Astyanax mexicanus: one gene and its partners. The protein of the gene in region 2 interacts with the protein of the main gene of each other region in a biochemical or structural test. Links are inferred from orthologs where the notes say so. Each region holds a gene or a part of one and is shown on either strand. Other genes may lie near its edges.

What was found.
Region 1: the proteins of ube2m (region 2) and dcun1d3 form a complex in vitro, tested with the Homo sapiens proteins (4 studies listed by BioGRID and IntAct). The link is inferred for Astyanax mexicanus from reciprocal best matches to the Homo sapiens genes UBE2M and DCUN1D3.
Region 3: the proteins of ube2m (region 2) and dcun1d4 form a complex in vitro, tested with the Homo sapiens proteins (3 studies listed by BioGRID). The link is inferred for Astyanax mexicanus from reciprocal best matches to the Homo sapiens genes UBE2M and DCUN1D4.
Region 4: the proteins of ube2m (region 2) and dcun1d5 form a complex in vitro, tested with the Homo sapiens proteins (3 studies listed by BioGRID). The link is inferred for Astyanax mexicanus from reciprocal best matches to the Homo sapiens genes UBE2M and DCUN1D5.

What each region holds. Positions count from the first base shown.
Region 1 is NC_064413.1:56,191,871-56,198,735, forward strand, and holds the start of dcun1d3 (DCN1-like protein 3), read right to left. Parts: upstream 3,002-6,865; 5' UTR 2,600-3,001; intron 1-2,599. UniProt on the Homo sapiens protein: Contributes to the neddylation of all cullins by transferring NEDD8 from N-terminally acetylated NEDD8-conjugating E2s enzyme to different cullin C-terminal domain-RBX complexes and may play a role in the cell cycle progression by regulating the SCF ubiquitin E3 ligase complex, after UV damage.
Region 2 is NC_064410.1:32,283,254-32,290,302, reverse strand, and holds the start of ube2m (NEDD8-conjugating enzyme Ubc12), read right to left. Parts: upstream 3,002-7,049; 5' UTR 2,767-3,001; coding exon 2,652-2,766; intron 1-2,651.
Region 3 is NC_064408.1:65,185,996-65,193,009, reverse strand, and holds the start of dcun1d4 (DCN1-like protein 4), read left to right. Parts: upstream 1-3,990; 5' UTR 3,991-4,005; coding exon 4,006-4,102; intron 4,103-7,014. UniProt on the Homo sapiens protein: Contributes to the neddylation of all cullins by transferring NEDD8 from N-terminally acetylated NEDD8-conjugating E2s enzyme to different cullin C-terminal domain-RBX complexes which are necessary for the activation of cullin-RING E3 ubiquitin ligases (CRLs).
Region 4 is NC_064416.1:4,963,193-4,970,139, forward strand, and holds the start of dcun1d5 (DCN1-like protein 5), read left to right. Parts: upstream 1-3,945; 5' UTR 3,946-4,076; intron 4,077-6,947. Other genes in the region: eif2a (eukaryotic translation initiation factor 2A), read left to right, coding at 608-673. UniProt on the Homo sapiens protein: Contributes to the neddylation of all cullins by transferring NEDD8 from N-terminally acetylated NEDD8-conjugating E2s enzyme to different cullin C-terminal domain-RBX complexes which is necessary for the activation of cullin-RING E3 ubiquitin ligases (CRLs).

The DNA of each region.
Region 1 (6,865 bases), on a different chromosome or scaffold from region 2:
GTTTTAAGAGTTCAGAAATCAATATTTGGTGGAATAACCCTGGTTTTTAATCACAAATTTTAATTCATGCATCTTGGCATCATGTTCTCCTCCACCAGTCTTACACACTGCTTTTGGATAACTTTATGCTGCTTTACTCCTGGTGCAAAAATTCAAGCAGTTCAGTTTGGTGGTTTGATGGTTTGTGATCATCCATCTTCCAGAGGTTTTCAATTTGGTAAAATTTAAGAAACTCATTTTTAAATGGGTTCTTAGTTTTTTTCCCAGAGCTGTATGTGTGTGTAATAACTGATATCGGCCCAGAACTCCCACCTCGGTGCATCCCTAACCAGCAGTGTTCATGTAATGTAAAGTTTACTCTTTTTTACTCTGAATGGAACTGCTGTTGCATTCAATGCCATGATTTTAGCCCAGTTTTAGCCCAGTCGTTGATAGTTTTTCTATGATTGATTTGGTTGGTGAGCTGATCCTGGAGATACAGTTAGAGCATGTTAAAAATGCTTATAACTGGAGTTCAAAATTATAAAAATTATGTCTGCAGTACTAAAACATTTCACATAGTTCTGTGTTGAGGACATAAGTACATATTTCAGTATTCAGTATAAAACAAGTGCATATTTCCGTATAAACTAACTTTAATATAAACTCATTAATTTTGGACTCTGTCCTTTATTCTATTCAAAGGTTTATTTTCCTTCCTAAATAAAACATTTTAACGTATCATCGCTGCCCAATGAAAAACATGTATTTCTAAAACGGCTACTTTACAGAAGAGAGATAAAACCTTTTTAAAAGCTTCCTTTAGTCGATATAAAGAGTGTTTATTTTATGAAATTTTGAAGAATTTCTATTCTTCTATTCTATTCCCCAAGAACTTCAGTCTCAGTGTTAGGGACAGTCTTATTCTCTCTAATCCTGTAAAAATGTATTTTTGTAGATACAAGGTTTTGACATGACAGCAATGATATATGGTTTCTATTAGTGTCAAACAATGTCTTGTCTGATATGACATGAATTTAAATTAAATTCTATACTTTATATTGGTATATGTCTGTACCTGAGCACTGACCAGCACCTTCAATTGAACACACACACACACACACACACACACACACACACACAAACACACACAAACACACACACAGCAGTTTATTCTGATATATTAGCCAGATAATATACTGCTATGAATGAACGCTGTCTCTGCTGCTCCATGCTGTTTACATGCATTCACTGCTCATATCTGTGCTGCATGTCCCATTGAAAACACTGTGTTTAAAAGCGCAGCTGCAAATTCTCAGCGTTCTATATTAAAGCGGCTTTACACTGCACAGATATACAGATATACACAGTGGAACACAGAATCTTCTCACTATATTTACTTTCGTACTCCTGCTCCAGACAGCTCTGACAATCAGAGGAGACTCTGATGTGTTTGTGTAGTTTATTGATGCGCATTTTGGTGCCAAATAAATAAACTTATCAACTGATCCGGATTTTAGAAACTTTCATAACTACAGGTGTAAAAACGCTCTTTTATACCAAGTTCTAATTCAGAAATCCTTACAACCAAGCTGAGATGTTCACAACAAAGTAAAAAAAATGTTTCCTATATCCTATTTATCATTCATTCTTTATTCCAGCGCCTCACGTTACGGCTTTATCTCCCCTCAAACATACAAGTAGAAACTATTATTTAGATTAATTAATATTAATATATTCACATTTTACTTTTCTTACATTCATTCTTTAAATTACATTTAAATGGCCACTATAAAACCCTGTCTTAAGAATGAAAATTGTGATTAATCGCAGTTTATCACAGAATATTGTTGTGATTATTCTGATTAAATGTTTTAATCCACTGACACTACTAATATATATATATATATATATATATATATATATATATATATATATATATATATATATATATATATATAGCTTTATGGGTTTAACGGAGGTAAATTAACTTACATACTAGACTTACTTAAACAGCTACAGTGAACTTTATATATATATTATATATTTTATGGGGTTTGTGGTTTATGATGCTTATATATAAATGTTGTTAAATGATCAAATGACTTTTACTGTAGTTGGTACAGGGATTTAGCAGAAGTAGCTAAAGCTAAAGCTAGCTCCATAACTCTACTACAGCCTACATAAGCTAACCAGGCTAAGCTGTGTTGTTACTGTATTTAAACTAAAGTAAACTAAATAAACAGGACTTTACCTACAAAATCAGGCTTTCATCTACTTTACTCTTCTGTTTATTTAGTTTATTAGATCGTTTATACTTTTCTGCGGCGCTGACAGAGCTGACAAAGTCTTATTTAGCTTTACTAAGCTAACAGGCTAACTAAGCTAGCTCAGTGTGCCCGCTGCTGGCCCAATTCAGCGCAAATCCCGTTCACTTTTCCGTTAGCTTTAGCATCGGGCTAATTAGCTGGGGTGCTAAACGCTGCTTCGCCCTGTTTCTCGGAGCGCGGAGGAGTTGAGGAGTGTGGATCTCAGGTGTTCGGGGTGTAGCTGAGTTCAGGTGAGCGGAGTTCAGGTGTGTGGGGTGTAGTGGAGTCAGGGGGCGGGTTCAGAGACTCACCTGGGCAGTAAGCGGGGGGATCGGGGCAGGTCGCCGCCGCCGCGGGTCCGACACTTCCACATCCAGCAGCTCCAGCCCCCGTGCGCTCCTGCTCTCAGCCCGGCTCTACAGCTCCAGCGAGGGGCGAGGGCCCGGCCGGCAGCCCGCAGCGCGGCTCCGGGGGGTCCCGGTGTGAGTGCGGTGCTGGGTGAGGGAGATACGGGGTTTGTGCGTGTGTGAGAGTGTTTTTCTCTTTGTGTTCCTCTTCTGCTGATCTTTACTCAATCACTGAACATTATGGGAATTTTCCCTCCGTCACGTCCTGTACAGCCTGAGCGGATCCGCCGCAAAACCCGGACTGAATCTGCTTAAAAACACGGACTGCGTCTGGTTTAACACCGCGGACTGGATTAGCCTCAATACAAGGAAGGGGTATGCTTTAAAACATGGACTGGTTCTGCTTCAAAATATGGACTGGATCAGTCACAAAACCTGGACTGGATTTCTTTCAAAACCAAAACTTGACCTGCTTCAAAATCTGGACTCGATCTGCTTCAAACCCAATACTGGATCTGCTTTAATACCAGGACTTGATCAGCTTCAAAACATGGACTGGATCTACTTCAATTACCGGATCTGCTTAAAAAACATGACTGTGTCTGCTTCAAATCATGGACTGGATTAGCCACAATACAAGGAATGAATCTGCTTCAAAATATGGACTTGCTCTGCTTCAATACCAGGACCAGATCTTCCTACAAACCTGAACTGGATTAGCCACAAACCTGGACTGGATTTGCTTCTGAAGACTGAAAAACAGTTTTTACCATAGTACTGTACGAGAACTGAACACTGCAAAATGCACGCACACTCTCAGACCACTACCAAGGAACTAAAAAATTAAACGTACAAACCTTAATAGCTGGACTTACAACGCACTGTGCACTTTCTGTATTTATTATTGGGTAAATTGTTACTATATTGCCTATATTTTCATACATCCACTGTAAATGTGTGTAAATTTGTGTATTTGTACATAGAGCTGTTATTATTTTGTTTTCTTTTATTTTTGTTCAGGCACCATAAGGATTGCTGCTAAATTTCGTTGTACACTGTGCAATGACAATAAAAGTATCTTATCTTATCTTATCTTCAAAACCAAAACTTGACCTGCTTCAAAACATGGACTGGATTAGCCACAATACACGGACTGGATCTGCTTCAATATCAAGGCTGGAGCTGCTTCAATACCAGGGCCAGATCTGCTTTAATATCAGGACTGGGGAAGCCACAATACAAGAAATGGGTCTGCTTCAAAACTAGGACTGAATCTGCTTTAGTACCTGGACTTGATCTGCTTCAAAATAAGGACTGGATCTGCTTCAAAACATGGAATGGATCTACTTTATAGCTGGGACTGGATCAACCCCAATATCTGGATTGGATCTGCCTGGGATTCTGCAAATAAATGTATTTTATTTTAATTTTATTTTTTTTTTTTTTTGAAATGTGATATGTTTTTTTATTCTGTCACTGGTCCATGGAGCTTAAAATGTTGAGATATTGAAGATACTATTTCGAATTTAAACCTTGCTTTTGATTGGCTATAGATAGTCAGTAAATTGGGTGCCCCCTATCTCCAGTCCCTTGCTTGTTCTTTCCTAAACTTCTCTCGGCATAAATATCTATCTATCTATCTATCTATCTATCTATCTATCTATCTATCTATCTATCTATCTATCTATCTATCTATCTATCTATCTATCTATCTATCTATCGGCGTTGTGTCTGTGGAGGGCGGGGCATATGGGAGAGGGGCGGGGCACAGTGAGGGGAGACGAAGAGAAGCGCAGCTGCTTCCATCTGTGTTGGAATTTCATGTAAGAACCCGTTATTCAATTCAATTTATTTCTATAGCGCTTTTTACAACAAAGGTTGTCATAAAGCAGCTTTACAGAGAAAAACAGATCCACGCCTCTTATATCTGAAACTTTTTGTAAAATCAGAAGCTTTGACACCACAGACACTGAGACACCAGTGAAACTTCTCATCAGGAAATAAATAGGAATAAAAGACAAAGGAGGCTGACCTTGATATAGTGCAATAATGTAGCTTTCTAACCCTGATCCAGGAGTATTAGTTAGTATTGTGAATGATGTAACCCAGGAGTATTAGTTAGTACTCTTCCGTACGCACAAAAAAATTTGGATTTATCAAACCGTGCGTAGACAGAATCCCACGTACTTTCTCTTAGTACATCACAATCAACTTGAAATCAAGCGCAAATGCACGAACACATCACACCTGCCATGACTCCTCCCTCAATTACGCATAGTATAAAGTTAGAATAATAATAATAATAAAAAAAAAATTATAATAAAAATTATTATTATATTATTATTAATATGATATACACGTTTAATTACCCATGTTTTAAATTGTATTATTCTAAGAGGGATAATAAATGATTTCATTTAAATGCTTTAAATTTAAATTTGCTAAATTTCCTTCGGGATCAATAAAGTATCTATCTATCTATCTATCTTAAATGAGTTGCTTACCAAGAAGCCACACGTCACGCATTCAGCTTGTTTTCTTATCCTCCTATGCTCTTGAAAATCTAAAACGGCTTATAAGTCAGTCATCATCATGGGCCAAAAAAACATAATGGTCGTGGAAAATGCGCTCTCAATGAATTTGGCCATTAGCAATATTTTCCAATAATGCCAACGTTGCCAACTCCAACAACTCCAGCGCAAACTTTTATGCATTTTTATAGAATCTAGGCTAAGTGGAAACACTTTAAACGATTATTTATGTAAGCCAATGAAATTGTCTGATTAATTAACTTTATTTTACCCAGTAATGCTGACTACAATGTGTGCATAAAGGATATCTTAATAGTTGTAATTTCAATGCATCGCCTCTAAGTGTCGCCAAATGACAAAAACACAATACATACGCACAAAAAAAAGGCGTACGCCCGAAACAAAAGTTCCGTGGGGGAACGCACTTTCTCACGTTCAAGTTAAATTTAGTACATCTGACCGTGAGCGTGAAATATGGCGTACGCAATATTTTTGTGCGTACGCACCTTTAGTACATGAGGCCCCAGGACTGAAACACACCTATACTAGTGTATCTCTTTATTTCAGTAATCCGGTTTAAAATGTGAAACTCATATATTATATAGACACAGAGTGATCTATTTTACGAGTTTATTTCTTTCATTGTTGAAAAATCAGTGTCTCCGGAAATTAGAATATTATATAAGACTAATTGGTACTAATGGGCAGTGTGTGCAGTGTGTCAAGTCCTGCTGGAAAATGAAATCCCCATTTCCAAAAAAGTTGTCAGCAGAGGAAATGTCATCTGCTGGTTTTGATCCACATGATTTCAATACATTTTTTTGAGATGCTCTAGTATAATAATATTGTGATGTGTGAAAATAGGTCCAATATTAAATATAGAAAATAAGTAAAAAATCTCAAATACAATAAATACACAATTAACAACAAGTATAAATTATAAGATATTAAATATATATAAAAACATGAAAAACTACAAAACTGAAAATATAATTGTGTGGGGTTTTTTTTTATTATTTAAACAAAATATTAATAATGTTGATTTTTTTATTTTTATGAGAGGTTTACTTTTAGACCCTCATTTATCTCCTCTATATATAAAACTCTAATAAAGGCTCTGTACTTTATTATTATTACAGATCTGCACAAACAGTATGAAGGACGAATAAATAAATACAATAAATATATATTTAATAATTGATTTATTTATCTATACAATTAGTTATGCGCGTATGTCATTATTTATTTATATACATATATATATATATATATTATTCTTTTATATGTGCTTTTATTTGTTTATACTTATGTAATTTTTCGTCCTCCATAAATAGAGGTGAGTCATCCAGGTCCAGAAAGTAAAAATCCATCGCAGGGTTTTGTACCAACTGCCAGGGCGGCTCAGCTTCAGCAAATCCGCCCAGGCCGTTGAAACAAAACCATGGGATGGAATTTTACTTTCTCTATCCATAAAACAGAACGCACTAAACTCTGCGCAGAAAGTAAAGTGTGCGCAGTATTGACGGCCCAAACGCCGGTGTTGTGCGCAGTCTGTTGCAGAAGCAGCAGCAGCAGCGGGGGTCAGGAGTACAGGAGAGGTACTGTAATCAGATAAACTGTAATTAATGTATTAAATACAGGGAATTTCAGCATTTATGTTGCTGATTCGGGTCTGCGGGGTGTTTATATATGAGCTGAG
Region 2 (7,049 bases):
GTTTTGGCATTAAGCAAGTGCAGTGAAATCTAGTTTAAGTTTTGAGGTGGTGATGTGAAAGACAGCTGACAGGTGATCGTCATGTCAAAACTCCATAAGCTGGCCTTTTTAAGGGATAACATCTAGCTAATTTGTATCTTTCCTTAGCACTGTCTCTCAGCACATTATCGTGAAGTAGCTGTATACACTTACACGCAAACATACCACCTGACATAAAAATAAATAGTTTTATTGCAAGCACAATGTTTGTGATAACGATAGTCTTGGCAGTATAACAAAACATTGAATAAAAAAAATATTTTAAGAATACACTATAGCAACAAAATGAAAATTGTAATATTGCATACGATATGATATGGCACACCACCAACTTAAAAAAAAAATAGAAGTATTTTATCAGATGTGTAACAGAAGTTAATGATACTAATAATGCAAATATCCAAGACTAAAGCAAAATGAATGATACTAAACAGACATAATCTGTCTCTAGTAAATATTTAATGAGAAATTGCTAAAAACAGCAAAAAAGTAGTACCCTGATGTCATAATTAGGAGTGGGTGATCTGGCACGCAATTTCAGGATATAATATTGTTCATGCTATTCGAAAATGTTGCTGATATTATTGCACACCACACGATATGGCACACCCCTAGTGTTCCAAACTGTATTATTGCAACGAATAGTCAACATTAGCTTTCATTTTGATTTGAAAATTTTAGTGTTAACTAATCGTTAACTGCAATGCACTACACAAACTGCTGGGACAGAAACACAATGGGGGATTGCTCGCTCGCTCACTCACTCCAGTTGTTTCTATCGTTTTGAGGTGATAGCAAAAGCTAGGAACAGGAGCCATAGCCACAGAAACCCAAGATAAAGGTATTGGTAGAAACAATCAGAAACAATCATTGACTAATTGACTAATCTGAAAAATTATCAACAGATTAGTTTGCAACCAAAATAGTCGGTAGCTGTACTTCCTGCCGTTCTGGGGTAGGCACTAATTCAACATTTTACACACCCTGCCACACTAAACCCAGGTAACCAGTACTGATTCTGCTCTCTCTAACACAACATGAAGTTACTAATGACTTTCATATTCTGCTTATAAAAGTGCACTATTAAATCCCTCAGAAAATATAGTACTTTTTATAATAAGAAAAAAAAAACTTTGTTAGAGACTACACAAAACTGATGCAGTCTGGTTTAATAGAACAGGTCAGTTCACTAAGTTTAATCAGCAAATTGAAAACTAAATTACAATGAAGTGTCATGACGTCTGATTTATCTAATCATAGTAAGATCTTTACTTGCATGTCAGTAGCAGGACATGACATAAAGCATAAGAGAAGGTCCAATAAAGAAAATCCATAAAAACTGTGAGAGATTACCATAGGCAGAACACATTTTATCTTACAGCTTTAGTCTATCACTTGTCCAGTCAGATCTAATGATAAACTGAACAGTTTATCAGTTCCTGGCTCAACTGTGTCAGAGTCAGAGGAGGCAGCTAGCTATAGCTGGATATTAACTTACATGCTCCAAAGAAACTAGTTCCCTAAACAAAGCCAAAGCCACTGTTTATCTCTTCCTACACAGAACCTATTATGTAGTAAAAACTACACTTCTAAGGATTTCTCTTTAGCTATATTTCTGAAACAGCTTGTCCTTGTTTTCCTCACAAACAAAGGGGACCATACAAAAATACAACCCATGATTGTGTTAATTATGCATTGTAGTTAATGAAGTGATTATTTTTGGGGAACGGGTTGCCACGTTTTAGACTATGGACAGTGACACTGATGCTATTAACCCATGTAAAATAAAATAATGATAATTGTAAGTGTTAGATATGCTCCAATAACATTATTCCTGTTCTTCACATAAATAAAAACAGACTGTAAACTTTTGTAGCCTGCTAAGCTAAGCTAGTTAGGATAGCTAACGTTAGCTAAGCTAACTAACGGCTAACTTGACGTTAGTTGATAGTTTGGTCGAATTAAAGGCCATAATTCCATGAAGTATGGCGAAAATTAGTGTCTAATTAACACTTAATGTTACCATGCGACTGACACCTAATAACAACTAATATATATGGAATAATATATAGCTACATAAAGCTAGCTAGCGGGCTATATTTAACAGAATTCGCCAAAGCTAATCTGCTCCTCTGGGTTAGCTTAGCTAACTAGCTAACCTTTGCTAGCTACAGTTAAATGCTTCCATCAGGAAATGAGCTAGATAGTTAGATACTGGATTTTTTTAGCCTGTTTAGTTAAATATCATTTCGTTTTCTCTAAGACAATGTCGTCTCAAACTCGTCGAAATGTTCAAGACTTATAAAAGACCAAAGCCGGCGATTAAAACACCTGAATGCTAAAACGGAGTGTGTTTAGTTCAGTGATGCTAGCGCTGTTTTCCTAGTTAGTGAGCTGGCTAGGTTAGCTAGCTTCGCCGCTTGTGCTTCTTGGAGATACGCCGTTGTGTTTTTATCTAAAATTTGTTTTTGTTTTGTAGAGATAAGACACCGGACTGATTCACACCAAAAGCGCGGCTGGTGATTTCAGTTCTGCTGTCCGTGTTCGGTGTTTCGGGTCTGTGTTACTGACTTTAATGAAGCTGTAGCCCCGGCGTTAGCCAGCTAGCCTACCTTTCTGTATCCGCAGCTGGGCCGCGCTTGCTTTTTTACCCCCGGCTCCGGTTCTGTTTCCTCCAGCAGACTCTTCATCTTTTTTCTGCTGTTTTAAAGAAAATAGTTTAATCATGTTTTGTGTGGCCGTGCGCCGGAGTCCGTGTCCTGTATGACTGTGTGTGTGGGGTTGATGGTGAAAGGTGAAGCTCAGAGAGATGGATGTGAATACAGCATTCAGGCCGGGAGAAGCAGCACTGAGCTAAACTACAGCAACACTGGAGCTCAGTCACTCTTACACAACTACACCAACACTGAGCACCAGCACACTCAGACAGCTACAATATTTCTGAGAACAGTCCGTGACAACTACATTAACACTGTGCACAAACCAACTGAGACAACTACACTAACACTGACCATAAGTACACAACTAAACCAACACTGAGCACAACTCCACTAATACTTAGCACAGTCAGACAACTACACTTACATTGAGCACAATCAAACTGAGATAACTACACTAACACTGACTATAAATACACAACAACACCAACACTGACAGAAATACATAATTACACTAAAACTGACCACAAATACACAACTACACTAACACTCACGTCAACAACACTCATGCAGCTACACTAACACTGAACACATATACATAACTACACTAACACTGTTCACAACCACACTCACATAACTACACTAACACTGAGCACAAACACAATTACACTAACAATGACCATAAATACACAACTGAACACATATACACAACTACATTAACACTGAACACAAATACATAACAACACCAACCCTACGCACAAACACAACCACCCCAACACTGAGCACAACCACCTCTAAGTAAAATCACACACAAATACACCAGCACTGAGAATATTCACATTTACACAAATACACTGATTATCACACTCACACAATTACAAAAAAACTGAGCACAAATACACAACAACTGCACTTATACTGAATACAATCACACAACTACACACAACATTGTTTTTTTATTCAGTCACAACATGTATCTCTGATGTATTCATGTTAATGTATGAATGTATGTTTTTTTTATTACTGACCATTAGATGACCTGATATAGTGAGTTATTACTAAATAAAAAAACAATCAAACAAATGGGTACATTGTATTTGAGCTTTAAAAAATATATATAAAACAGATGTTTTAAATAATAATGATAAGGGTGGACAAAAGAAAGGAAATCAGCAGAAGCTGTACTGAATTAAATAAAAAGGCTTTAGTTTAAGTAAACTAGAAGAGAAACAGCACTATACTGTTAACTTGAACTGAGTGCTGAAGTGTCTCCTGCATTTTATTAAAGCAAAAATCAGTTTTGTCCATAATCATCCACACATGTGAACATGCCACATTTTGTTCATATCCGAGTTTTTAGAAATGACTAGAGTCAAGCTCTTCTTAGCACAATGACGATCTGTCCCTTAATCAGTTATCAAACGTACCAAACTTATAATTATTTTATAACAATAAACTTCTATTAACCTTTTATACATAAAAACAGACTAATCTGCTTCAGATTATGGAATAAAGAAAACAATAAATCAGTAGGACTGGTCAGAAGGATCAGTAGGATTGAAACAGCAGAAAACTTGGGTGCCTGATAATATCTAATGATAAAGTGCACCTAGAAAAATCAACTGGGGTCAAAATAGCACACAGCAATATGGCATGAAATTGATCTTAAATGTTGACTTATTATGCCATGATATTGAATCAACTTTGTTGTCACTGTTACAATTTAGTACCATTCAACCATTAAATGTTCCAAAAACATATGGTCATTCTTGTTTGTTTGATTTTATGTACAAATTTTTGTATGAAAGCAACTGCCTAAGTAAACTGTCAAATCTGCACCCCTGATAGTCTGAACCCTCTCATGAATAGCTTAAAGTACACAAAAAAATAAATGTGTTACTGATATGCAAATTGTAATCCTTGACTTAAATATGAATCAACAAATATGGTACCTTTAAGCAATTGTGTATTAAAATATGCCGAACTGTGCATATCTGTAAATAGGTATATGACATATTCACAATTACAAAATCACTTATTCATAGAGTTTTACCTGGTGCTCCAAATTTTCTCTGTTTAAGCCTATTTATATTTATATGTTAGCCTAGCATTACCTCAGTTGTAATTCATATACAAGCTTACTCAAAACCTGTACTTACTTGGAATAATAAATGTATATAGTTTATTATGACCTATAAAAGTATATAGTCACACATTCTATAATCATTTATATATAGTCACACAACTATATTTTGACATAAATAGCTTACAGCTCATGTTATCTAAGATAAATGAGAATCTGTTCTCATTTCAGTTCATGTCAAACTGAAAGATGTCAACTATAATCTTAAGACTAATTACTGATCTGTAGGGCAAACAACCACAAAACAGCAGCAAAAATATGCTGTAATTTCCTGTGCTAATTTAGTCACAAAGCCTGCCTTCTGTCTTTTATGAAAAGCCTTTAAATGTGACTACAAATGAATGACTAAAGATTGCTTCTTTAGTTTTAGAAATGACCCAAGGCTAATGCAAGTGCAAAATAATAAAAGCTTATAATCCATTAGCACTGAAATGCAGAGGCCAGTGCAGCTAGCAAGCTAGCTAGCTAATGTAAAAGAGAGTTATTTCATGAGTGTAATTTTTTTTCTTTTTCTTAAAATTGCAGGATAATTATTATATTATCTCAGGAAAGCTATGATAATATCAACATTTTGAGATCTCAAACAACTTCTTATAATGGAAAAAGACAAGTAAATAACATTAATGTCAACTGTGGTTTACGTCAATTGTGACTGCTTATGCATGTGTCACCTTATTTAAAAGTGTAAATCCTAGTGTTAACCAATAATGTAACATTTCACCACCTCAACTAATCATGAAAGGAAATGGTCAGCTAGGCCAGAAGTGCTCTCTGTTATAGTGTTTTACTCACAGATATGCTAGTATTTATTTTTCAAATGTACTTGTTTACTCACTAGCTTATACATGCGTCTGAAATGACTGACTTTGCCATTTAAGTCTAACCATTTACTTTAAAGTATATTTAAATGTACATCAGTCTGTCTGTTTACATTTAAGTTAAAACATTTTAGCCTGCATTGCCTTCATTATAATGTACAATACAGGGCAGCTGTTTAGAACAGAAGAAAAAATGTTGGGTAAAATTAATGATTACTGTTTTTTTATCATAAAACCACACAAGCTAACACAATGACTTTGGCACTCTGCATTAGCAAATAGTTGTGTCAAAAAAATGTATTAGATCATTAGTGGTAAATAAATCAAGCTAAAACCACTGTACATTAATCTAAAAGAGAAAATAATGAACACTTATAAAACGTGAGATATGAGTAATGAACATTACACCTTAAGTAGTAAACTCACACCTGTGATGTCACCTCAAGAAAAACGTCATGACATCATAGGTGTGAATCAGTCACACTCAGGCACTTTTATTTGTGTCTTATAAGTGACGACGCCCCGTGGATGAGTGAACGGTGTTCAGAATGATACCATGCGTCTACCAGTCCCGATCCGGGTTAAATGTGATCCTGGTTAAGTCCTGTTCTGTGACTCTCCCCCAGCTCGTCTCACAGAACTACACATCCCATAATGCTCTCGCTTGTCTGTGACGACGCGAAAGTGGGAGGGGCGTGTGTGTTTTTTTTAACCTCCATATTTTATTTACTATTTATTTATTTCATTTTTAAGGCAGAAATGGAGGACGATGGCGTCTTATGTGTCATCAAGACCCCAAAGACGAATTTGTAACGTTACGCGAAATTAAATCTAACACGACGTGAGAAAAAAACAGCCTGAGCAGATCTGACACAATAGAGACAAATGAGGAGAACAATAGCCACGTTCAGTCGCCTGCTCAGTTTTCTTTCGTTTTGATCGTTTCTGGAAATTGTATTTTTGAAGTAGGGGCGAATACGAGTGGAAATATAGGAGTCGCTGTGAAAGCGGGGCATTTTTAGACTGTGGGGATGCGTTCAGTGCAGATGCGGTGTGAAAACCTTGGGCTGTGAGAGAGAGAGCACGTTGGGACTGGATAAGGAGAGGGAGCGAGAGAGAGAGAGGGGGGAGAGAGAGAGAGAGAGGGTCATAGAAAACACTGAATGGCACCGAAACGCACACATACACAGATAATTCATATAATCCATCCATTCAGCAACCGCTGTAACTCTGCATTTATCTCTTCTGAACCTCAAACCCCCCGCAAAGGGCGCGGGGGAGAGCGGGTCTGATGGCAAGTTTTTCCTGATGCTGCTCGTTTTTTGAAGATGCACATGTAACTAAACGCTGCCAAAGCAGAAGAACAGAACAGGAGCAGAAGAGAAGAGAGGA
Region 3 (7,014 bases), on a different chromosome or scaffold from region 2:
CACACAATTTTATTAAAGCCAGGCTCACTTAAAGTCTTCTTCTTTTACCTAAAGTAGGGTCTTCACTTTTTAAATTAGCATGTGTTCTATAAACCATGCATTTTGTGTGCCCTTCCCCACCTGCTGTTTCAGTCCCATTGTGTATTTCAGTGTTTGAACAATGGTGGGAAAACTGTGGCAGCTGTGTATTTTGTATACATTTGTGGAAGGAGATAAAATTCAGATTCCAGACCTATGTATTACACACTATTCCCAATGTAGTGTACTATGCAAGTAACAAAATTACAGATTTTAAACTTTCCATTTTGGAGAGTTTTTTTTAAAGCTTTGTTGACAGGAGAAAAAGAAACTGTAAGCCTTGTCCGAACATATCCAGATTTTGTTTTAGCCAGTGAGCTTTTAGTAGTTAGTTTTATAATTCATTCACAGTTGTAACACTGACACTGCAGATATTACAAAGTTTTCTTTTTACACATTAACATAGTTTCACACTGCTGATATCTACACCATGTTCGAACATTTCAATGGAGAGAATTTTCAGAATCCATATAATAATGAGTTGTTACTAGATTAAGCTGATCATAGATATGCATTATGGTCTTGTTTAGACATTATGGGACAGTATAGGGTATTTTTTTATTTGGTTCACCAATGATGCGCAACTTTTTCTGTTCTCAAAATCCCATTCATGGTCACGGTCCGGCACAAGCAGAATATCCTTCCCAGTATTTAAACTTGCAGCTCATCATCATCATGCAAATTGTAAGCAGAAACAACATGGTGCAACTAATAGATTTATAATGTCCATCAACATACAGAAAGAAAAGTAAGAAACTGCACAATAACTAAAATATATAGCATGTTTATAAATTAATTTAAGTAATTTTTAGACTGCAGTAGAAATGTAATATACCTGTAATAATTATTTTTTAACACTATATATTAATTTGTCTTTGGCCTGATTTCTTACTGGTTCGGATTTATATTTACAACCCTGATATCTAAAACAATTCCACACACATCTAAATTGTTTTTGACCAATAGGGGCATCTAGTGGACACCGGAGGCCTCAACTTAAATTGGGTAGATCAATTGTTGTTTGACATGTTTTAATTGTTTTAATTAAATTTAAGCCAATTTAGGCCAATTGGCTTACATATCAGCAAAATAAAATACTTAGCTAAACAAAGCAACACAGCAACTGCACCAGAGTAAACACAGAATAACAGAAAGTAGACCTATATGTAGAGCATTACATATACAGCAGCAAATGAACAACTTAGTAAAAATAACTACTTTTAGAGATGTCCAATACTTGTTCTGTCAAGATTTTGCCTTGCAGATTTTGGCTCCAGTTTAATCTAACACACTTGATCCATGTGTAAACCTAAAAAAGGTGATCTGAACTGTCCAAAGTGGTACAGGTTAATGCTACCTTTTAAATTAAATAAATTAACTAGATATGATATTTTAGATGTACTGGAAAGGTTACATCAAAGCACACTAACCCTCTGCTTTAGGATTGGTACAATAAGCAGTGCAGAGTTCAGAGGTTCACAAAGTCAGCTCTAGTAACCGTACATGCTGCACATTTTTGCACGCTTCCTCATAAAACAGATGCCATTCAAATATGTAGTTAATTAAGAAGCTCCTCCTAGGCTGGGGCTTTCCTATGGTGCTCAAAATATTTACAGCAGGCTTAAAGAACAACAGACTTTCTATGGACTACCACCCAAACCAAATTGACCAAATTGTAGTAGAATTGTAGTAGGGTTGTAACAATACCAATTTTTTTATATCAATAGCAGTGCATACAAAAATCATTCTACAATATAATATAGCATATGGCAAAAATAAAAATTAAGCTTAGAAAAATGATTGACTTTTTACAGCTTATATAGCAATTTTTTATTCAAAATGTCCAATAATGATGAAATCTTGATTATTTTGGTGTTAGAGCATGTAAATGAAAAAACTGTACATTAAGGGTCTCTAAAATAGAAAAATAAATGGACGCACAATGAAATTGATGCAAGTTAAAGAATGGGAGTGAATTTTTTTGTGCCATCTTTCGGTACTTTGGTATTTTCTGTATCAAATTCGGTATTTTGTACAAAGACTCAATAAAGCTACCATGCCAACCAAAACTCTGAGGAACATCTACAGGTGCATCATTGAAAGCATCACTGATTTGGATCCAAGCCCCCCCCCCCCCCCCCCCCCCCCCACTTCAGGAGGGTCCACAAGATTATCAAGGATAACACTCATCCTCAACAAAACCTCTTCACAGTCCTCCCATTTGGCAGGCTATACAGGAGTGTGAAATCAAGGACGACCAGATTATGGAACAGGTTTAGGAACAGGCATCTGACCAGTAATGCAGTTCATGCTCTTTCATCTCTCCCATGAGATGATCACTAGAACATTACACACAGTGCTCTGCTCTTTTGCATAATACACTAGTCAATTCTATGCGTCACCTCTTTCATAGACCTACATTATTATTTATACTGCAAAATACTTATAAATATATAAATGCTCAAGTCTCTTTTAGCAGCTATTTAGTATTGCACAGTATTATCTTTTGCATTCATATTGACACTTTTTTATTGTCATTATTTAATCATACTGCAAATATATTGTGTACTTTGTCCCGTTTGTACATGTATATAATGCATATATTTTACTGTCATTGTTTGTCGGCCTACTTGTGGTCCAGGGGAAAGGGCAGAGTAAGAATTTCATTGTACAGTGAAACTACCTGTTTTTCTGTGCATATGAGAATAAACTTTTGAATCTTAAACGTTCAGGGCACTAGGGCTGTGTTTCGAAATTCGATACCAAAAAGCCCATTTGAAACCAGCAACCAATAAAAGCTAGACTCGAGCTGGATTTTGTTTTTAGCAGGGATGTAATTTTGCATGGCTGACCAATAAAAAAAATCCAGGATAAGAGTGTGAAGGTAGTCTGCAGTCATGTTTGGGTAATTAATGTCTTACTACAGGTTAAACAGTAAGGAAGGAGTTCTGAATGACAACATGCTGAACGAAACTGAAATAATCCACCAAGTGGTGCTGGGTATATTTATATACATAGGCAGTATTGTCAGCTAACTGCATGGTGGTACTGGGAGCAGAGCTGTAGCTCTAGACTCGAAGCTGAACATTGATAAAACATCTGATGGAAGCTACATCTTCATGCGTGGCAAGTCCAGCCCTGTGGAGTCCCCTCCCACTGTATGTGTGAGGAATATGGTCACAGTTTGAGGAATAAACAGCCAGCTTTCTTCATTATCTGTCTATCTAAAGCCAGGAGGTCTTGGGGAGGGGTTCAGTCGACGGAGAAGGTGCTTGTGTGAACAGCGAAATTCCAAGAACACAATACGAGACGATGGTAAACAAAGGAAATGAATATTTATGTGTGCGATGGACACCTCAGGAGCAGCCGTGATAAAGAGAGAGAGAGAGCGTTAGGACAGCGCTGCGGTGTTTTAAAGAGCGGCCTTTAGTCAGTGTTGGGTTTACTTTAAGCGCAGTTTAGATTTTAAGACGAATCCTGTAGGGAGTAACTCGCTGTGTGGTAACTTTCTACAAAAATATCTGTGAGGAAATGGACTCTCACGCCCTACAGTAAACAAAACTGGGCGCCTCGACCAATCAGCGCGTGAGATCAGCCGAATCAGCGATGATTGACGTGAGTTTAGACCACTGTCAGCAGAGGTGGGGGCGGCACCCGGGCGCACAGTATCCAATGAGCTGTCAGCGTGGGGCGGTTTTCTTCTTTGCACGAGGAAACGGTCGTAATTGATTCGCTCGTAGAAGACCTACAGCCAGTGGGCTGCTTTGAGGGGCGGGGCTTTAGTGGAGCTTCAGCGTATCACACCGCGTCCTGTGAGGGCTTCACCTCTTTGTGTGTGCCTTCAGAGATTGGCACCTGTCGTGGCCAATCGGTGTCGATTGTGGGCGTGGCCTGCAAATCCATCGTCCACCTAAATCATCGGTGGGCATGGGGAACAGTGACATATCCCGCCCACTGGCCGGTCTGCTGCAGCTTCACACAAATACAGTTGAGCGTTTCATAAAAATGCACTCAGATGCGACAAGTAAGTACAATAGTGTCTTAATAGCGCGCTTTTCTCCGGCTACGGTTCCGACACGGGGCGCCCGCTGCGAACTTGTTGCACGACGGAGCGTTTCGCCTTGTTTGTGGCGTTTGACGCATTTTAGCGGTGTTAAACTAGCCGAAACCCGAGCGATAACAGTCTGTACAAATCAGGGGAGAGACAGTATTAACATAGCTATGGATAATCTAAAGCTCACCGGGCTCTTTGTATTTCTCTGTCTCTGCTGCTGTGGTTGTGTTGGGGTCTGGCAGCGACGGCGGATAGCTCTCTCTCCTCTGATAGCTTCAGATAGCCATAACCCTGTATATTAGCTGAGCCTCGCGGTGCTCTTCCTTTATTATTATTATTCTCTCTCTCTAAAAGTGTTTACTCCCTGAGACACAGAGACCAAGAGCTGTAGATAGATAGACAGCTAGGTTATCTAGTGCAGGACTGTAGTTGGTTAGGTTATCTATCTGAGCCTGTTTAGCCAGACAATGCACTTGTAAGTCTAATTAGCCTTAATACCTCGGGGATCTGCGAGCTCCGCTTGGCCTCAGCTCGCTCTTTCGCTCGGTCTGGGCGAGCAGGCTGCAGGGGGATTGTGTAACCCCGCGGTATTAGCGTTAAATAGGTCAGTTTTCCGAGAAAACTGCGGAAAATTACAGGGGGTGAAAATTGTGACGCAGTTGTGTAAAAATTTCGCAGCGCCCGCGCGCGTCTTCTGCAAGAGCGCGAGCACGGTGCCCTAAAGCCCCTCGCGGAGTGACCGAGCCCCCCGACCCGGACTTTTTTCATTAGAAATCAGGACGTTTTTTGTGGCATTTGGATTGCATTCATCAGTTGGGGTGAGTGTCAGGAGAAGGGGTGCCGAATAAAATTATTTCACTCGGGAATTCTGGGAAGTGTAGTTCGCTCTGCCGGTTCACTGCGTTCGAGGAAGAGAGTTGGGATACGTCATGGGGACTACATCTCCCAGAAGCCCGTTCGCGCTGAGATACTTTGTAAACTCGTTGCAAGTTGTGTGCGCGCTGTTATGCTCGGTATGTGGTCACTTCGGTGGCATTCGGGCCGAGTGTTGGCCAGGTTTAGTCCGTGCAGTGCGTGCGGTGCTCCGGTACGGTGTGGGTGCGTGACAATGGGTACAAATATATATAAACACACGCGCGGAGCAGAGGTTTTATTATGTGTGTGTGTGTGTGTGTGTGTGTGTGTGTGTATGTGTGTTAGCTATCAGCCTTTTTCTTCAGACTGCGTCACAGGGTCGCAGACTAACTGTGTTTTTACACACACACATTTACAGAAACGCTGAGCACACACACAGCATAATTATGTAGTTGTTTAGTTGTTGTCATATGTGTCTATGGTATCTTGTCTCTCCCCAAATCTGAACCCCTGTACTGTGTAATACAAACACTGGGCCACAAGGATCCTATCCTCTCATATGCAGTACCACATTAGTCCCGATTTTAGTGTGTGTATGACTGTGTCTGTGAGTGTATGTGTGTTAGACGGGCCGCCATCATTGTCTTAGTGTTTCCCTGCCTCAAACTAAACCTGACATGGACACTGCTTCCCAAAGCAGGAGCACACATACACTTACCCACATCATTAAGTCAAATGTCAAGGCTGTCCAGTAGGAGATATAAAGGACCTTTCTGCCGGACAGTCTACACTCTTGTTTTTATTTTTTTAGGTTATATATTGAGAAACCTTGCTTTAAGTAGCACCTACAGTTCTAGAAAAAAAAAAACTTCAGTTTCTGAATCAGTTCTTCTGAATTTTGCAATTTATAGGTAAATGTTTGAGTAGAATGAACATTGTTGTTTTATTCTATAAACTACTGACAACATTTCTCTCAAAATGAGAATGAGAAATGGCTGAAATCACAAAAAAGATGCAGAGCTTTCAGACTTCAAATCATGCAAGAGAACAAGTTCATATTCAGAAAGGTTTAAGAGTTCAGAAATCAATATTTGGTGAAATAACCCTGGTTTTAATTACAGTTTTCATGCATCTTGGCATGTTCTCCTCCACCAGTCTTACACACTGCTTTTGGATAACTTTATGGCACTTTTGGTGCAAAAATTCAAGCAGTTCAGCTTGGGTTGATGGCTTGTGATCATCCATCTTCCTCTTGATTATATTCCAGAGGTTTTAAGTTAGGTAAAATCAAAGAAACTCAAACATTTTTGGTGGTCCCTTATTTTTTCCAGAGGTGTATATGTTTTTTTTCTGTACACAGAAAGTAACCAAGGTCCTGGCCTGCAGTGGTGCCTGAAAGTTTGTAAACTTTCTCTGTTTCTATATTTCTACATAAATATGACCTAAAACCTCATCAGATTTTCCTAAATTTCCTAAATTCCTAAAAGTAGATAAAAAGAATGATAATGTTGAACAACCTAGACAAGAATGAGGACAATTTTTCAATATTACATATTTGTGAGTGGAAAAAGTATGGGATGGGAATCAGGTGCGTGTTGCCACCCAGTTTTATTTGAAGAACAAGGATCTGTCAATGTCTTCTCTTCACAACATGTTTGTGGAAGTGTATCTTGGCACAGGCAAAGGAGATTTCTGAAAACAACTGTACATTTGTTAATGTATTAAAAGTTGCAATTAAATTAAATTCTGTGTAGTCCAGAACTAGAGCTTTAATCCCTGTCAGTGAACCTGTCGTTGCAAGTGCATTATGGTCATCTTAGTAAGGAAGTAAGAATATGTGTGTTCTAGAAAGATCGCTTTAGAAAGCCAAAGGATTCATCTTCATCACTATGTTTTTGCACAACTAGTCCAGATAACAATTGTTGAAATTAGCAATGGCCCAGTGTGAAGCACCAGGGCTCTAAAGGTTGTCCTTTCGACCCTCCTTTCAATTGCTTTTTCTGTTACTTCAGTCTCTGGATGCTATG
Region 4 (6,947 bases), on a different chromosome or scaffold from region 2:
TTAAAGTCAAACAAGCGCTGTATGTTAATTTACACAGATTTCTCTACAGAAACTGTTTGTTTGGGTAAGTAAACCACTTCCATTTATTTAAAGTAAGCTTAGATTTCTAAAACATTGGTTGTTTTATCACGGTAAATGCACAGGCTACAGTCCGATAATACTTACCTCTAAATGGCGAAAGAGCTAGCACGTAGTGCGGTTAGTGGCTAATGCTAATGCTGCTCCAGCAGTACTGGACGGGTTTAGCAATACTTACCTCTGAACGGCAAAAAAGCTAGTGATTAGAACGGTTAGTGGGTAATGCTAATGCTGCTCCAGCAGTGCTAGCTGGGGTTAGCAGCAGGCCGATAATACTCACCTCTGACCGACAAAAAGGTTAGAGCTTAGTGCGGTTAGCGGCTAATGCTAATACTGCTGGAGACCTAAAGTGAAACTCCTGTATAACTCTGTACTTCAGCAGAGTGATTTTACTGCTTCTTAATACCTGACTGGTAGAATTCATACATAAGGAGCATCGGATTATAAGGCGCACTGCTGTTTTTTGGGAAAATTAAATGATTTTAAGTGTGCCTAATTTTATAATGCCGTCTCTAACTTTATCCCACAGCTTGAGAAGATGCAGAAGGAGGCCCAGCTGCTGAAGGAACTGGAGGAACTAGAGTTAGGGCTGTAGCAGACATTTACCTTTTCATTACATATCAATCCTATCACAACATCACAGATCCGTGTGTGAACGGGAACCAGAAGCTGAACCAGATCAGATCACAAACTGGTTTCAGTACAACCCCATCAAATCTGCAAACATAAAACCCACCTTAAAGAAGAAATCCGACGTGCTGCGATTCATTCTGTCTCTTTAAACGTGAGGCTGGAACCTACATCATGGCCTGGACCTCTAAAGGCATTATTGCTATGCAATGTTCTGTACAGTTTATGAGGCAGGTTATGCTGTTCTACACATGGAGTTTAACCAGTGGAGGTGAAGAAGCTTCACTGCAGTGCCCACGTCACCATCTGGACTCATATGTAGATTAAAAGAGCATGCCGTTTAGTTTCGATAAAATGAGGAAAAAGAAAAGTTTTTGCTTTGGGTTGTTTTTTTTGTTCGTCATGCTGCCAAAATGCTAAGTGATTAAATTTCCATCAGAAAGAGAAATAAATAATGGTTGCTTACAAACTACTTACATACTTTGTGTCCCCTCTGTTTCTTCACTGTACCATATTCATACTCATAAACCTCTTTAAATATCTGAAAGGCAAAGGCAAGCTTGTTTGAATAGCACATTTTATACATAATATCTTTTAAAAATATTTTAAAAATAAAATACAATAAAATTAGATTTGTCAAGTGACTAAGTACAAAAACTTCATTACCTTACTATTGTAGAAATGTAGGTTATCTATACTGGAGTAATTATTTTTACCCTTACAATTATCTGAAATTTCTACTCCTTACATTTTAATAAAACAGCCTCGTTACTCCTATTTAATTTCAGCTGGTTTTCATTCCGGCTTCTCATCGTTCAATAAAACCCCTATCCAGATAAATCTCTCCATCCAGATAGAGTGAATCTGATTGTGATTGGATGTAGAGAAGTATAAACATATACTATTCCGACTCCCTATTGGTTCATCATGTGATGCATCACACCTGCACACGCCCCCACCACCCACCCCCACACTCCAGCAAGAACATAGCAGACATATGTAGAGTAGTATGAAGATGATCCGTGCAGAGACTCAAGAGAACTCCAGACAAACTCCAGACCAACTAAGTTTCTTTAATATATTTACATTGTCTTTAATATATTTACATGTGAAATGCATTCATTATCAATGGGCATATATGCAGCTGAAACAAGGAGCCTAGTGCATCCCAAATTTATCAACATTAACATTTTAATAGAACTTTTTTAGTCATTATGGCTTTTATAAAAATGTATTTTTGGGGAGGGGGGGGTAGTGCACTATAGAACCCAAGTGCTGTTAAAGTGTGGCTTCAAGGTCCTTTTGTTTCACAGCTAACAAAGCAAGCCGCTCTCAGGGGTTGTGCACAATATGACTGCCTAAATCCCTATTCGGACGGGATTAGTTTCTCAGGGGGGCGTCTGTGAAAAATATTTCACACTTCTACTCAGTGATAAAACTCTTGAATTCGGACTGCAATTAAAAAAACAGGAAGAGCAGTGAGTTTTTAGGCTTTCTCGATCACGTGACCACACATTCAGTAGCTCCTCCATTTCCACTCGCTGTTGTGTTTTTAACGCAGATCTCTTACAGTGCGCAACAGTGGACAAAAAGCTATTTTATTAAACGAGACGTGACTAAATTAAGAGATGTCCGTCTGGACGGGCCTAAAATTACCGGAGGACCATGGAGTTCAGCGAAAAACAGTAGATAATTCAGCCTGTAATTTTCTCAGAGGGCGTCTGAGAAAAACACATACATGGTCATTCTGGATGGGAATAAAATCACAGAGGAGAAAATTATCCCAGAACCCTCTGAGAAACTAATCCCTTCAGCTTTTAGTATGAGAATTACTGTAAGTGTCTTTTACTTAGAATTCTACCATGTCTCACTGCAAGAGACTCCAAAATATCACAATAATTCCTTCCAAGATAAAAATAAAAATAAACCAATTTACCCTCCATTTTCTTACTTATCCTTTGATTAAAGGAGCTTTGATGTGATATTCAGTTTCTTTATGGGCATACATTTACAGACAATCAAGCTTTATTATTCTTTATTATTCTCTGGCTCTGACTTTTTTTATCTTATTCCCATACATATAGTATCTCGTTCCCATGCCTTAATAAGTCGTGGCCACTCATTATTTTTTTAACATGTCACCTTATGGGAAAATAAAAGATGTCACCTGCAGAGCCCATACGGTGACATGTTAAAAAAAAATAACATGTCACCTTATGGGCTCTGCAGATGACAACTTTTATTTTCTGGGATACCGATTTTTTTAAATTGTCTGTAAGCCATAATCATCAACAATAAAATAAATAAAATCTTAAAATAGATCACTCTGTGTGTAATACACATATATAATATATATATATTCAGCTCTGGAAAAAAAAATAAGAGACCGCTTACAAACGTTGAGTTTGAATGTTGAGATGGATGATCACAAGAAATCAAACCAAGGAGTGGTATAAAGTTATCCAAAAGCACTGTGTAAGACTGGTGGAGGAGAATATGATGCCAAGATGCATGAAAACTGTGATTAAAAAACAGGGATATTCCACAAAAGTTTATGAATATGAACTTGTTTTCTTTGCATTATTTGAGGTCTGAAAGCTCTGCATCTTTTTTGTTATTTCTGCAAATAAATGCTCTAAATGGCAATATTTTTATTTGGAGTTGGAGGAGAAATGTTGTCCGTAGTTTAACAATAATATTCATTTTACTCAAATATATACTTATAAATAGTAAAATCAGTCTTATTTTATTCCAGAGCTGTAACTGAATATTACTGTAAATAAAAAAAGAAATAAGAGAGGACTTGATGATGAGTTTCTTGGATTTCACCAAATTTAAAACCTCTGGAATACATTCAAGAGAAAGATGGATGATCACAAGCCATCAAACCAAGATGAACTGCTGGATTTTTTCCCCAAAAGCAGTGTGTAAGACTGGTGGAGGAGAACATAATGCCAAGATGCATGAAAACTGTGATTTAAAAAAAAAAAAATCAGGGTTATTCCACTAAATATTGATTGCTAAACTCTTAAAACTTTATGAATATGAATGCTCTAAATGACAATATTTTTATTTGGAATTTGGGAGAAATGTTGTCTGTAGTTTATAGAATAAAACAACAATGTTCATTTTGCTCAAACATAAACCTATAAATAGCAAAATCAGAGAAACTGATTCAGAAACTGAAGTAGTCTTTTATGTTACAGTGTTAGAGACCGGGGGTGGGACTTTTATTATGTAGTGCGGGACCCGGTTGTATAATAGGATAGCTGTGTCGGGGAGCTGGAGACCGGGGCAGGAGCGGAGGAGCTGCGCTGTGTTTTCTGGTGGATTGGGAGAATATCTGGACTCTGAGCGGCTCGGGTTCGGTCAGTATTCCCGGTTAAAGCCGGTATATCGGTGATTTAAGCGGCGGATCAGCGCTGGGAGCGGGGTGTTCGGGTTTAGCGCAGATAGTTACCCGGGTAGCTGCGCTGCTTTAGCCGTTAGCTCTTATTCAGTAGCCGGTAAACAGTAGCAGCAGCAGCATTAGCTCCCGGAGAATAACCACAGATTTATTACACAAATACCAGCTTTTAATAAATACTCCACTCACTAAACTAACCTCTAAAGCCTGTTCTATATTTATTTAATGTCCACAGCTTTATAAAATCTTAATAAATCAGTTTAAAATCAGGTGAAATTACAAATACCAGCGTTTATGTAATACTACACTCAATAAACTAATCTGTAACGCTTGTGCTGCTTTTACATAATGTCCACAGCTTCATAAATCCTTAATGAATCAGTTTAAAATCAGATTAGTATTTTTGATACACAAAAATACCAGCTGTTAATTAATACTACACTCAATAAACTAATCTGTAACGCTTGTGCTGCTTTTACATAATGTCCACAGCTTCATAAATCCTTAATGAATCAGTTTAAAATCAGATTAGTATTTTTGATACACAAAAATACCAGCTGTTAATTAATACTACACTCAATAAACTAACCTGTAACGCTTGTGTTACATTTATATAATGTTCACAGCTTTATAAAACATTTTATAAATCAGTTTTAAAGCAGATTAAATACGATATGATATATGGCACACTCCTAACATGAAATTCTAAAATACAAGAATTTGATCAGATTTGTAACAGAAGTCAATGATTCAAAATGTCATGGAGTCATAAATAAATCAACCTTTTTAAAATAGTTAAACTTTTAACACCTTGCTCAAGTTCCTTTTTAACTTGTATTTGTATTTATTTAACTCCCTAAATTGTTACACCATCACTGAAAAAGTTCAGTTTTAATAATTTAGAAGAAGAATAGTCAGTTGATATGACTATTTATTATTGAATTATTATTCAGGGGGGTTAGCTTGTGATTTTTGTTTCTAATACAGGATAAAACATCCCTCCTTATCTCCTGCCATTGTATTTGTTTTTCTATTGCATGGGAACTTTAATCTTACATTGCAGTTCTCAGTGCATTACCAACACTTTACGGTCACAATTTACAGTACAGAGGATGGTAACTTGCTCTTATTGCCTACAGAACATTGGCTAGGCAAATAACATGCACCCGTCATGCAAAAAATTAGTTTAATTGAGCAGAGTTAAATTAAATCTTTGTGCAGTTGGGCAGTATACATTTTTTAACTGTGTCTGACCTGTGTGTGTGTGTGTGTGTGTGAACCTGATGTAAAAGTACAAAATCTTCTTTATAAAGTAATAAAGGAAAATAAAAATGAGGATTTGTTCTAAAGAAACCCTTAAATGAATTACAATAGAAAATGAATAGAGGTCATTTTTGACCCAAATGTGCATTAGAGGTGTAGTGATAAAAAAGGTTATATGATGATCAAAAACAAGTTAACTGAGAAATACCTTAAATTCTGAATGGCTAAATTATGTTGCAAAACTGCAAAAGGGGGTATTGATACAAAAAGGGCTTTTATTTAAAAAAGTAAGAAAGGAAAGAATTAAATAACTATCTACTTACTGATAGTTTAATTCTACAGCGAATACTTGTCGCAATCAAAGCTAAAGGCAGTCCAACCAAATATTAATATTGGTTTTAACTATCGGCCATATTGGCTGATGAAGATGATTAAAAAAAAAAAAAAAAAAAAAAGCTATTCTTGGCAGATACCGATATAATTCTGATGTCATCATTCATGCATAATTTATATGTTGACAACAATTCTTAATTCATTTTATTGGCCGTATCATAAGCTATATGGAATGTCTGGTTTAAGATTTAGGCACACACTTTATTTTAGTATAGAATATAGATGGTAAAAAGCAGAAAAGCTGGAAATAATATATCCTTGAGCCAAACAAACAAAATGTATCACACTGTGAACAAAACTAACAAGAAGAGTCACCCAGATGCCTACTGCTGTTGATTGTGCCTCTTGTTTAACCTTTTCATATAAAGACAAATAGAGTTGAAGGGTATATCTAAGTTTTATACAGTTTTAAAACATTATTTTCCGTATAGCTCTTATATTGAAGTTGTTGCAGTTTTTTTTTTTGTATTCTGGATAAACCTGGAAATTAAACCAGAGAGACAGTATATTAGAGATAAATGAGATGAGGATGAATAAGGAATAAGTGTGGCGTGCTTGTTATTCTGCTCTCTGCATCATCATCATTACTCACCTGGCGTCTGGTAAATAACCCTCAATCTCAGGGTTATTGTGTAATCTCAGCGTGACCTTGTGGTTTCAGACGAGAGGCAGTCTGGAGCACATGCTGTTCATACTAATCAAGATCCACAGATATGAATAATAAACAGAATCTCAGAGCACTGTTTCCTAAAGCTGTTGCTAGAGGAACACCTTTCTGCACATGTTTGTAATGAGCCTGTTTTAACCCAAGTTATTTTAGATTTGCTATATCAGATTAGATATTTCAAATGTAAAAATAATAAGTGCAGCATGTCTCCAGGACCTGGATAAAAAAAAAATAATAAAGACTATGAAGTGCACTTAAAATCCTTTATTTTCCCAAAAAATCGTCAATTTACTTTATAAAACAGTGTGCCTTATGTATGAATTCTGCCAGTCAGGTATTAAAGAAGCAGTAAAGCCACTCTGCTGAAGTACAGAGTTATAAGGGTTTTCAGAAGTTTCTCCAGCACTAAGGCTGGGTGCAGCACCATTAGCATTAGCCGCTAACCTCAGCACTAGCTGTTTCGCCATTCAGAGGCGAGTGTATTGGAACTGTAATCTGCATGTTTACCAT